2 linked regions of the Oryctolagus cuniculus genome follow. The protein of the gene in region 1 interacts with the protein of each later gene in a biochemical or structural test. Links are inferred from orthologs where the notes say so. Each region holds a gene or a part of one and is shown on either strand. Other genes may lie near its edges.

Region 1 (4,764 bases):
CAGTGCCATGAGAACTGGAGAAAGGGTTCTTGGCTTTTAAAACATTAAACATAATAACCAAATGCAATATGTGAATCTTGGCTGGATCCTAGTTCAGGAAAAAAAAAAAAAACATATATGAAATCAAACACATCAAGAACACCTGGAAAAACTGGGCATGGACTGGATATTAGATGATATTTGAGAACTACTCTAATTTTCTTAATTTGGATATGTGACTATGTAATTAAATAGTTTTATTGTTAGAAGATACATGTTCAGGGACCGGCGCTGTGGCATAGCGGGTAAGACCGCCGCCTACAGTGCTGGCAACCCATATGGGCACCAGTTCAAATCCCGGCTGCTCCACTTCTGATCCAGGTCTCTGATATGGCCTGGGAAAGCAGTGGAAGAAAGCCCAAGTGCTTGGGCCCCTGCACACGCATGGGTGACCTGGAAGAAGCTCCTAGCTCTTGGCTTTGGATCGGTCCAGCTCCAGCTGTTGCAGCCATTTGGGGAATGAACCAGCAGATGGAAAGCTTCTCTCTCTGTCTTTGCCTCTCTGTAACTCTGCCTTTCAAATAAATAAAAATATTAAAAAAAAAGATGATGCATGTTCTGTAATGATGCTTGTAACTCACTTTCAAATTGAGAAAAACACATTCATAGAGAAAGTATGGAAAAATATTAAAGTGATGAATCTAGGTAGTGAACACATGTACCATTCTTTCCATATGATTTTAGTATGTTGTAACATTTTCAAATGAAAAGTTGAGGGAAATCCTCCCTTTACCATGCTAAATTCTCCCCTCAAGCTATTTATTACTCTACTTCTCTGCTTTGTATCCCAACAAAATAATTTAAAGGAACTAACTATACTCAGTGTGTCTATTTCACTCCTCCTATGAAACCACTCTAACCAAGATTTTGTCTGATCAGTGTACAGCCTATATTTTAAAGATTTATGTACTTATTTGAAAGGCAGAGCAAGAGAGACAAAGGGGGAGAGAATGATCTTCTATCCGTTGGTTTACTGCCCCAATGGCCACAACAGCCAGGTCTGGGCCAAGCTGAAGCCAGAACTCCACCCTGGTCTAATGAGTGACAGGGGTCCCAATATTTGGGCCATCACTGCTGCCTTCCCAGGCATATTAGTAGGAAGCTAAATGGGAAGCAGAGCAGCTAGGAGTTGAACTGCTACTCTGATATGGGATGCTGGCCTCCCAAGAAGCAGCCGAACCCACCGTACCACAGCCCAGGCCCCAGAACTATTATGTATAACTAAATATAGTTGTAACTATATAATAACCTCTATGTTGTTCAACGCTCCCACTCAGTTCTCATTCTTATATTCAACTCATCAGCAATTTCTGACTCAACTGATCAATCATTCCTCCAAACGCAGTCTTCCCTCGGCTTTTAGGTCTTTTTCCTGGGGTTTCCTTTTGACTTTCTGGTCACTCTCTCTGGTCTCCTCCCTAAGATCCTCCTTATTTGGCAACTTCTAAACACTGGCACATGCAAGTGCTGTCCCTACACCTCTCCTCTAGCCCCCTTAATCTCATCCAGGTTCACAGCTATAAATATTGATATAAGCACTACTCTCCTAATTTTAACCCCCATCCCAGACTTCTCAACTCCCCATCTGTACATTCAATTCCCAGTTAATGTCTAATAGAATCTCAAACTTCACATATCCAAAACCTCAGGACTACGGCCCATCATTTTTCAAGGCCTCTGCATGTCTGTCTGGATCATGCCCCATTATTCATGATACAATATCCTCCTGCCTGGAAGGTCTACTTTTGCTTCTCTCACAGAAACAAATCATGCTTTAGGTTTTCATATCCAGTCATATATCTTCTGCCACCCTCCAGTTGTCTTCACCTTCCTCAGAAGAAAAGCTAAAGGTCCCAACTACCTCCTCCACGATGCTACGGGATATGTACCCATCACTGACCTTAGCTCTTACCCTCTTCTGCCTCACAGCTCCCAAACAAGGCTGTTTCCTGGCTACTCCCTCTGCCTTAGAATGACACCTGCACGACAGTCACAAGTCCTTCAAGGGCTCTGCTTAAACAGTATCCAATCAGTGAAGCTAACAAAACAGTCCCTGACCACACTATCAAGCATTTCTTCCCTCTTACACTGCTTCTTTCTTTTCCTCTGCAGCAACCAACCATCTAACATGAGCCCAAAAATGCAGGGATTTTATCTCACCTAAAACTTGGTAAGAACTCAAAGATATCTGCTGTGCTAACAGCATCTTCCTCAAGCTGCAAGATTAAGTTCAGAGTCAATTATTTCATTTTTCCTATATAACTTAAAACTACTTTAATACACTTCTAGAGTTTAACTGGAAGGACTATCACTATAATTTCTAGATACCCACTAAGTCCTCACATTCAGTCCAGAATATTTCTGAATTAACAAATGAGCAAAGTGAGCGTGAAAGCAGAGGTTTCTCCAGCACTTACGTGGGCAATGTCTCCCTTCGTGCCTATGACTCGATCCTGAGAGTGCTTACTGAACTCAACATAGTGGTCTTCTGTGAAGGAATGCCTACGGACAAAAGCACTGAGAGGTCAAGATGTTCAAGACAGACTCCTGCACACACTGCAGCCTCTTAATGCCTTGGCTCCCACAGAGGAAACGCCTGTACAGTGAGATTAAAAACATTCCCTCCAGCAGTGTGTCTAAGCATACCCTGACAGGGATTCCTTGGTTGGAAAAATGACCATAGGGCACATGTGCCTTTGAAATACGAAAGATTAGAATGTAAATGGCCCATGTGAACTTGGCAAAGTATAAAGATGGCCATTTGGAGTTAAGTGAAGGATCTGCTGCCCAAATGGGCAAGCATATACTTTCCAGGAGCATCTAGAAATTAAAAGATAAAATTTTATTAAAACATAAGCCTAAAATGAAGAAGTTAACAATAACTTACAGCATCCTACTTCCCAAAAGGCCTCTAGTCCAACAAATAGATGGAGTATAAATTATATAAACAAAACACAGGAACACCAGACTACAAAAGCAGATACATACTTCATATCAAATACTGATTTCATTCCCCAAAGTGCAGACAAAGGCTGGCTCCAAGTAGCAGATGTCAGCAGCAAGGACCCGTCCTGAAAGAAGGAGGCCCAAGGAGGGTAAACGTGGGTTTATATACATGTAGATGTTGCTATCTACCATTAGTATTTTTAAAATATTTACATAAAAGCATTACTGGATTAAAGAGAAAAAGAACAACTTTCAGGAGCCAAGAAATAATCAGAAGTCACTAAGATTTAAATACATGTACCTGCAGTGTACTAGAAAATAAATTTAACAGCACATTAAATCCTTCTGAGCTCGTAACAAAAATATAATGGCTCCAAAGAAAAGAGGAAGAAAACTTGGAAAGACATCAAAGATAACCGGTTCTCTTGATACGGCACACTCCTCAGTTTCCCTTGGAGTCCAGTCGATTTCACCTAGACTTTAGAGGTAAGGATTCCTCACAAGAAACTCCAATAAAAGAGGAGTTCACCAACCCATCTTAGAAACGAGAGCATCCAGGAGGAAGGGACCCTCACCCTAGAAGGTTCAAGGTGTGTGATAGCCGAGTTGTGACAGTTGTAACTGGCCTCCTCCTGTCCACTAAACACATTATAGAGCTTCAGCTGCCCTGTGCAGGTGCCAAGCATCAGGAACCTCTCCCGTGCTGAGAACGCACAGCAGGTGAAGCCACTCTCATCTTCATTGGCTTCCCGGAACACTGAAATAGGACGGAATCTAAGCAAAACAAAAGAGAATCAGAGACATAGAATGTGCAGGGACTCAAAAAGAAAACTTGCTAGAAGGACTTAGGTTTGAATAGGTGTGAAATAAGTTCTTTAAAATATCACACTAACCTTCACTGGTTCATTTTCAATTTTAAATGAGAGAAAAGGACCTCCACTTACAAATTTAAATAACAAAAATTCCCACATTTAGGGGCCAGCACAGTGGATAAAGTCACCGCCTCCAGTGCCAGCATCCCATATAGATGCTGGTTCAAGTCCCAGCTGCTCCATTGCCAATCCAGCTCTCTGCTGCGGCCTGGGAAAGCAGAAGATGGCCCAACTCCTTGGGCCTCTGCACCTGCATGAGAGACCTGGAAGAAGCTCCTGGCTCTAGATCAGCCCAGCTCCAACTGGGGCCATTTGAGAAGTGAACCAATGGATAGAAGAACTCTCACTACCTCTGCCTCTCTGTAACTCTTTCAAATAAATAAATAAATCTTAAAAAAAAAAAAAAATCCCACGTTTAAAACTGTGATCCCTTTCCATGAGACTTTTAAGGAATCACAATGTTCAAGGAGGCATCTGATGCAGCTGGTAACATGCTGTTCAGGATGCTCACATTCCGTATCAGAATGCCTGGCTGAAGTCCTGACTTTGATTCCAATTCAACTTCTTTCTACAGATCGCTGCCCCAACAAGTGAGATCAAGATTGAGCTCCTGGCTCCTGACTTCGGTCTGGCCCAGCCCCCGCTGTTGCAGGCATTTGAGGACTAAACCAATAGATGGATCTGTTTCTGTCTGCTTTTCAAATAAAAAGAAAATTAGTATTTTAAAAAATTCACATCAGAAGGCATTTTGGACCAGCACAAAACGAGCTAAGATCCTGGTTAGGGAGCATGGGCTCTCCAGTGGTAACACATTATTCAAGTATTGCCACTAATGACATAAGGACTCTGGTAAACAAAAGGTGACACACACTGCTTATGTACTGATGTGACAAGGAATGGCATTTCA
Region 2 (4,740 bases), on another chromosome or scaffold:
CAACAGTTGAGTGGTTCCTGCAGTCCTGACGTGTCCGACCCGTGAGTCCGAGACTGCCAGAGCAGCCCTTTGGTCCAGCGGTTACGTCGACCGGGACGGCCACATCCCCATCAGGAGTGCCTGGTTCTCTCCCAGCCTCTTGCTAATGCACGTCCCGGGAGGCAGCAGACAATGGCTCAAGTACTTGGGTCCCTGCCACCCACACGGGTGACCCAGATGGAGTTCTTGGCTTATGCCTTCTGCCTGGCCCAGCCCTGGCCACTGTAGGCACTTGGGGAGTAGTAAGCCAGTGAGTGAATAGATATTTCTTTCAAATAGAATGAAAATTTAAAAAAAAGTTAGACTACGAATGCCTGTTACTACTTCTAAAAGTTTAACATCTATTTTTAGAGAATCATTTGTTTTCTGAATTCCCTATGGCAACTTGGGCTTCTTGTTCCCTCCCTACTCAGCAGAGCTCTGTGGTGTCCAAAGCTAACCAGGGCCTTGGTCTTGAGGCACAGGAAGTCGAGCTGCAGCTTGCAATGCCCCCATGACATCAGCTATCCCGGGACCGGTTCAAATTCTGTCTGCTCTGCTTCTGACCCAGGTGCTTATTAGTGCACCTGAGAAAGCAACAGAAGAGGGGCCGAGTACTTGTCACCCACGTGGGAGGCCTGGGGGAGCTCCTGGATCCTGGCTGTTGTATTTGGAGACTAAACCAGTGGATGCAAGTTATCTGTCTTTCCCTGTCATTTTGCCTCTCAAGTAAACATAGAATAATCTAAGGTGAGGTCCCCACATCCCTGACCTGTTAGCAAGGTAGCTGCTGGTCTGAACGTCAGTAGCAAGTTCCTGCAGGCGTGTTTTTGCCGGTCGGAGCTGTACTCTTTGGGGCGCAGCAGCCTGACCCCACTCGGGCTGCCCACAGCACTGGGTCGGGTGCAGCTCCAGCCTCCTCTCTCCTATCAGGCCAGGTATGGAAGGCTAACAAGGGCGTGGCTGTTGCCAAGGGGACCAGGGTGGGGGGAGGGGACGGGTGCTCCCTCCAAGCACAAGGGTGGCCCACGGACACTGAAGGACGCTAGGCACAGAGCAAAAAGTTCAATAACCTTTTATTAGCAAACCTGTGCAGGCTAACTCGCTCACCCAGCTCAAAACAGCATCGCTAACAAGATCAGGCATGGAGGCGCACACTCAGTAAAGACCATCTCTTTATAAAAGGATTGAAAAATATCTCTGCTTAAGCATATTTGTTAAAAAAACAAACAAACAAACAAAAAAAACAAACTCCAGTGTTACAGAAAAAATATCCCAGTGACTTCAGTCCATAAAAAAACAGCACGTGGCAGTCACTGCTGCCTTAAACTCCACGGCAGGAAAACGGGAGAAAACTCACCCCTTCTGGTAAAAAACCAACACAACCCCTCACCCCACTTCCTCCTCCCGGTTCAACTCCCACCACCCCTTCTAGACAGTCGAGGTAACGGGAGAAACCAAGAGACACCACCTGAGCAATCAGGAAACAGCCCATTTCTGAGCCAGACTTCTAGAAACTGCAAAGCATCCTCAAACTTGGAGAGGACGAGGGCTCCTTCAAAGACCCGGGGACAGTGTGCCTGGCGGAGACCAGGATGCCTTTAGAAGCAAACATGCAGCACCTGCACCTGCCAGGTGGACAGCAGCAGCAGCAGGCACCGGGCCACCAGAAAAGCGCACGTGGCCCGCCGTCCCCACCCGGGGCGGGGAGAGAGCCGAGGAAGCAAGTACCTCTGGGGGAACTGCACGTCTCCCCCAAGGCCACCTCTGCCTTGGTTCAGGCTCTCGTCTGGTCTTGTCTGGAGGGGTCACGTGCAGAGACAGGGGTCAGAGGGCAGCCCCGCACACAGTACTTAGCAATGGGGAGCTTTGCAATGCCACGTGGTCGCGGGCGAGCACTGTCGGCAGCAGCTGCCCGGAGCCCACGCCTTCAGTCCCGGTCACAGCTTCGTCCAGTCGATGGGCTTCTTGCCAGACTTCCGCAGCAGCTCATTGGTTTTAGAAAAATGCCTGCAGCCAAAGAAGCCTCTGTACACCGACAAGGGGGAGGGGTGGGCCGTCTGCAGGACGTGGTGCCGCTTCTGGAAAAGACAAGAGGGCAGGTTTGGGGCCTTCAGAGACGGCTGTGCACCCTAAGGCAGGGGCACAGTTCCCCGACTCTGGCTGGACTCCAGGCCTCTTGCTTGTTCACCTAAAGCACCCACCTACCTGTGAAGCTCTCCGCACACGGAGGCCGGGGTCAGCCTTCCGTTTGGCGTGAGCTATGCCATTCTCAAGGGCCAGGCCCTTCCCATCGTGCAGTTCCCCCGCAGACTGCACTTGCTAACAGGCGCCGGGACGCGGGACGCTCCCTGCACTGCCTCTACCAGCCCAAGCCACATGCAAGCCCAGTGTCTGGAGCCACGCACACCCGTGTCCTCAGGTTCTTAGCTGCAGAATACCACGAAGCCACTAGAACGTGGCCTGACCAACACACCGATTTGGGACGCCTCCCGTTTATCAAGCGGGGGTAAAATAACAATCCACCAGCATTTATTTTCCTGGAAAAGTCTCCAAGACACTATTCATAGAATTCCTTTCAGGAACAGCAGCGATGGAAGACAGACTCTATACTCTGTACTGGAGTTACTTCTCCACAAAGACGGAACCCAAGGGGACTTCCAAACGTTCGTGGGGTTAAGAGAGTTTATTAAACTTTCAATTCTGTCTTCCCACGTGTTCACTGAGGCACCCCTGTACTCTTGATTTTTGGGGTCACTTGTAGCTATCTGTGTATGGAGGCTGTGGCCATTTTTGTCTTCCCTTTTTCTGTATTTCAATAGGAACTGCTCATCATCGCCTTTCAAAACATCCCTGCATTCAGGTCTCTGTCTGGGAGGCAGCGTATTCTGATCGACACAGCAGAGCCTGAGCCGGATGGCCTGGGCTCAAGTCCCAGTCCCACCCCAGCCGCTGTGTAGGCGGGGGAAGCGGCTGCAGGCGACACCACACTGCCGTATGCAGCTACGGAATGTGTCTCCAGCTTACCAAGTCCCCGCGGAAGGGCCAAGTGAGCAGCCCCGGTCCCTGTAAGCGTTAGCTCTGCTGACCGCAAGCCAGGCAGTGCTCCTGGGAGCCCTAACGACCTCCTTGCTCTGGGCAGAGGGCCCAGCTGTGCAAGCAAAGATGGAAGCGGGTCCAGGGAGAAGTGAGAGGCTTGCTCAGCTTGGCACTCGGGGCGCACAGAGAGGTGTTCTGGTGGGGGCAGGCTGGGGCCGACCCTGCCGCCTCTCGGGGAGGCATCAGTTGACTACCTGAGGGCCTAACGCAGGGCAAAGGCATAGTCAGGAAAGGGTGGGCTTGACAGGAGAGGACAAAGAATGTGGGATGAAGGACTGATGGCGTGTGGGGTGGGGAGCACAGGCTGAGTGAGCAGTGTCCAGGACGCCCGGATGCACGGTGTCAGCTGCACGGCCTGCAAGTGTGGAGGAGCAGCGTCTCATGGGGTGGAGGAGGAGACGGGGTTTCAGTTTGGAAGCTGCTGGATGGGATGTGCTCTTCAGACCCAGTAACAGGCACGGTGTGGATCTCTGCTTAGGACCAAGAGGCACAGGGCTGGAGACAGCACCCTGCCTTCTTTGTAAGATTTATTTGAAAGGCAAAGCTACAGAGAGACAGAGAGATCTTCCAACTGCTGGTTCACGCCCCAAACGGCCAGCACTTGAGGCTGGGTCAAACTGAAGCAGGAGCCAGGAACTTCTTCTGGGTCTCCCATGTGGGTGCAGGGGCCCATGCATTTGGGCCATCCTCCACTGCTTTCCAGGTGCATTAGCAGGGAGCTGGATCGGAAGTAGAGCAGCCGGGACTTGAACCACTGCCCATATGGGAAGCAGGCACTGCAGGCAGCACTCAACTCACTACACCACAATGCCAGCCCAGCACCCCACTTTCATCATCACGCTGCGTCTACAGTTTTTTTTTTTTTTTTTTTGGACAGGCAGAGTGGACAGCAAGAGAGACAGAGAGAAAGGTCTTCCTTTTTCCATTGGTTCACCCCGCAATGGCCGCTGTGGCCGGTGCACCACGCTGATCCGAAGCCAGGAGCCAGGTGCTTCTCCTGGTCTCTCATGTGGGTGCAGGGCCCAAGCACCTGGGCCATCCTCCACTGCTTTCCTGGGCCATAGCAGAGAGCTGGCCTGGAAGAAGAGCAACCGGACAGAATCTGGCGCCCCGAACGGGACTAGAACCCAGCTTTTAGGCTAAATCACGTAGACCACGAATGACAACCAACGCTGTGAGAGCTACGTGGCCGGAACCTTCCGGAGACAGGGAGATCAGAAATCACCCTTGTGCACACTCTTACCATCTTAATACCAGGCCCTAGCAGCTCCTGCGAGGTTAGTGCCCCAGACAGCTGCGGTCCTACCCTCAGAGCCTCTGGAGGGGTCAGCATGGAAAGTGTTCAGCTTGGTGCCATGTGGGATATGGGGAGGGGACCGTGTGCCCACAGCCGACACACCAGTGCCGTCCTACTGATGCGGGAAGCCGGTTTATCTCAGCTAAGACCCCTCGCCACTTACCGCAGCCTTTGCTCCAACCCTCCTCACCCACGTCCCTCCCTGCTGCCTGAGCGAACCCCGGGGCCCCGTCATGGCTCATCGATCCTGCGGGCCTGGAGAGCTGCTGCTCACCGGGGGGCAGAGCTGAGGGCGGATGAGGGCACGAGGGAAAGGACAGCCTCCG

What was found. The genes of interacting proteins can lie anywhere in the genome.
Region 2: of the proteins of DCAF1 (region 1) and UNG, one has a biochemical effect on the other in vitro, tested with the Homo sapiens proteins (2 studies listed by BioGRID, with this or other methods). The link is inferred for Oryctolagus cuniculus from reciprocal best matches to the Homo sapiens genes DCAF1 and UNG.

Annotation. Positions count from the first base shown.
Region 1 is NC_091441.1:98,129,069-98,133,832, reverse strand, and holds part of DCAF1 (DDB1- and CUL4-associated factor 1), read right to left. Parts: intron 3,760-4,764; coding exon 3,561-3,759; intron 3,111-3,560; coding exon 3,028-3,110; intron 2,542-3,027; coding exon 2,457-2,541; intron 1-2,456. UniProt on the Homo sapiens protein: Acts both as a substrate recognition component of E3 ubiquitin-protein ligase complexes and as an atypical serine/threonine-protein kinase, playing key roles in various processes such as cell cycle, telomerase regulation and histone modification.
Region 2 is NC_091452.1:18,168,317-18,173,056, reverse strand, and holds the end of UNG (uracil-DNA glycosylase), read right to left. Parts: intron 2,100-4,740; coding exon 1,959-2,099; 3' UTR 1,072-1,958; downstream 1-1,071. UniProt on the Homo sapiens protein: Uracil-DNA glycosylase that hydrolyzes the N-glycosidic bond between uracil and deoxyribose in single- and double-stranded DNA (ssDNA and dsDNA) to release a free uracil residue and form an abasic (apurinic/apyrimidinic; AP) site.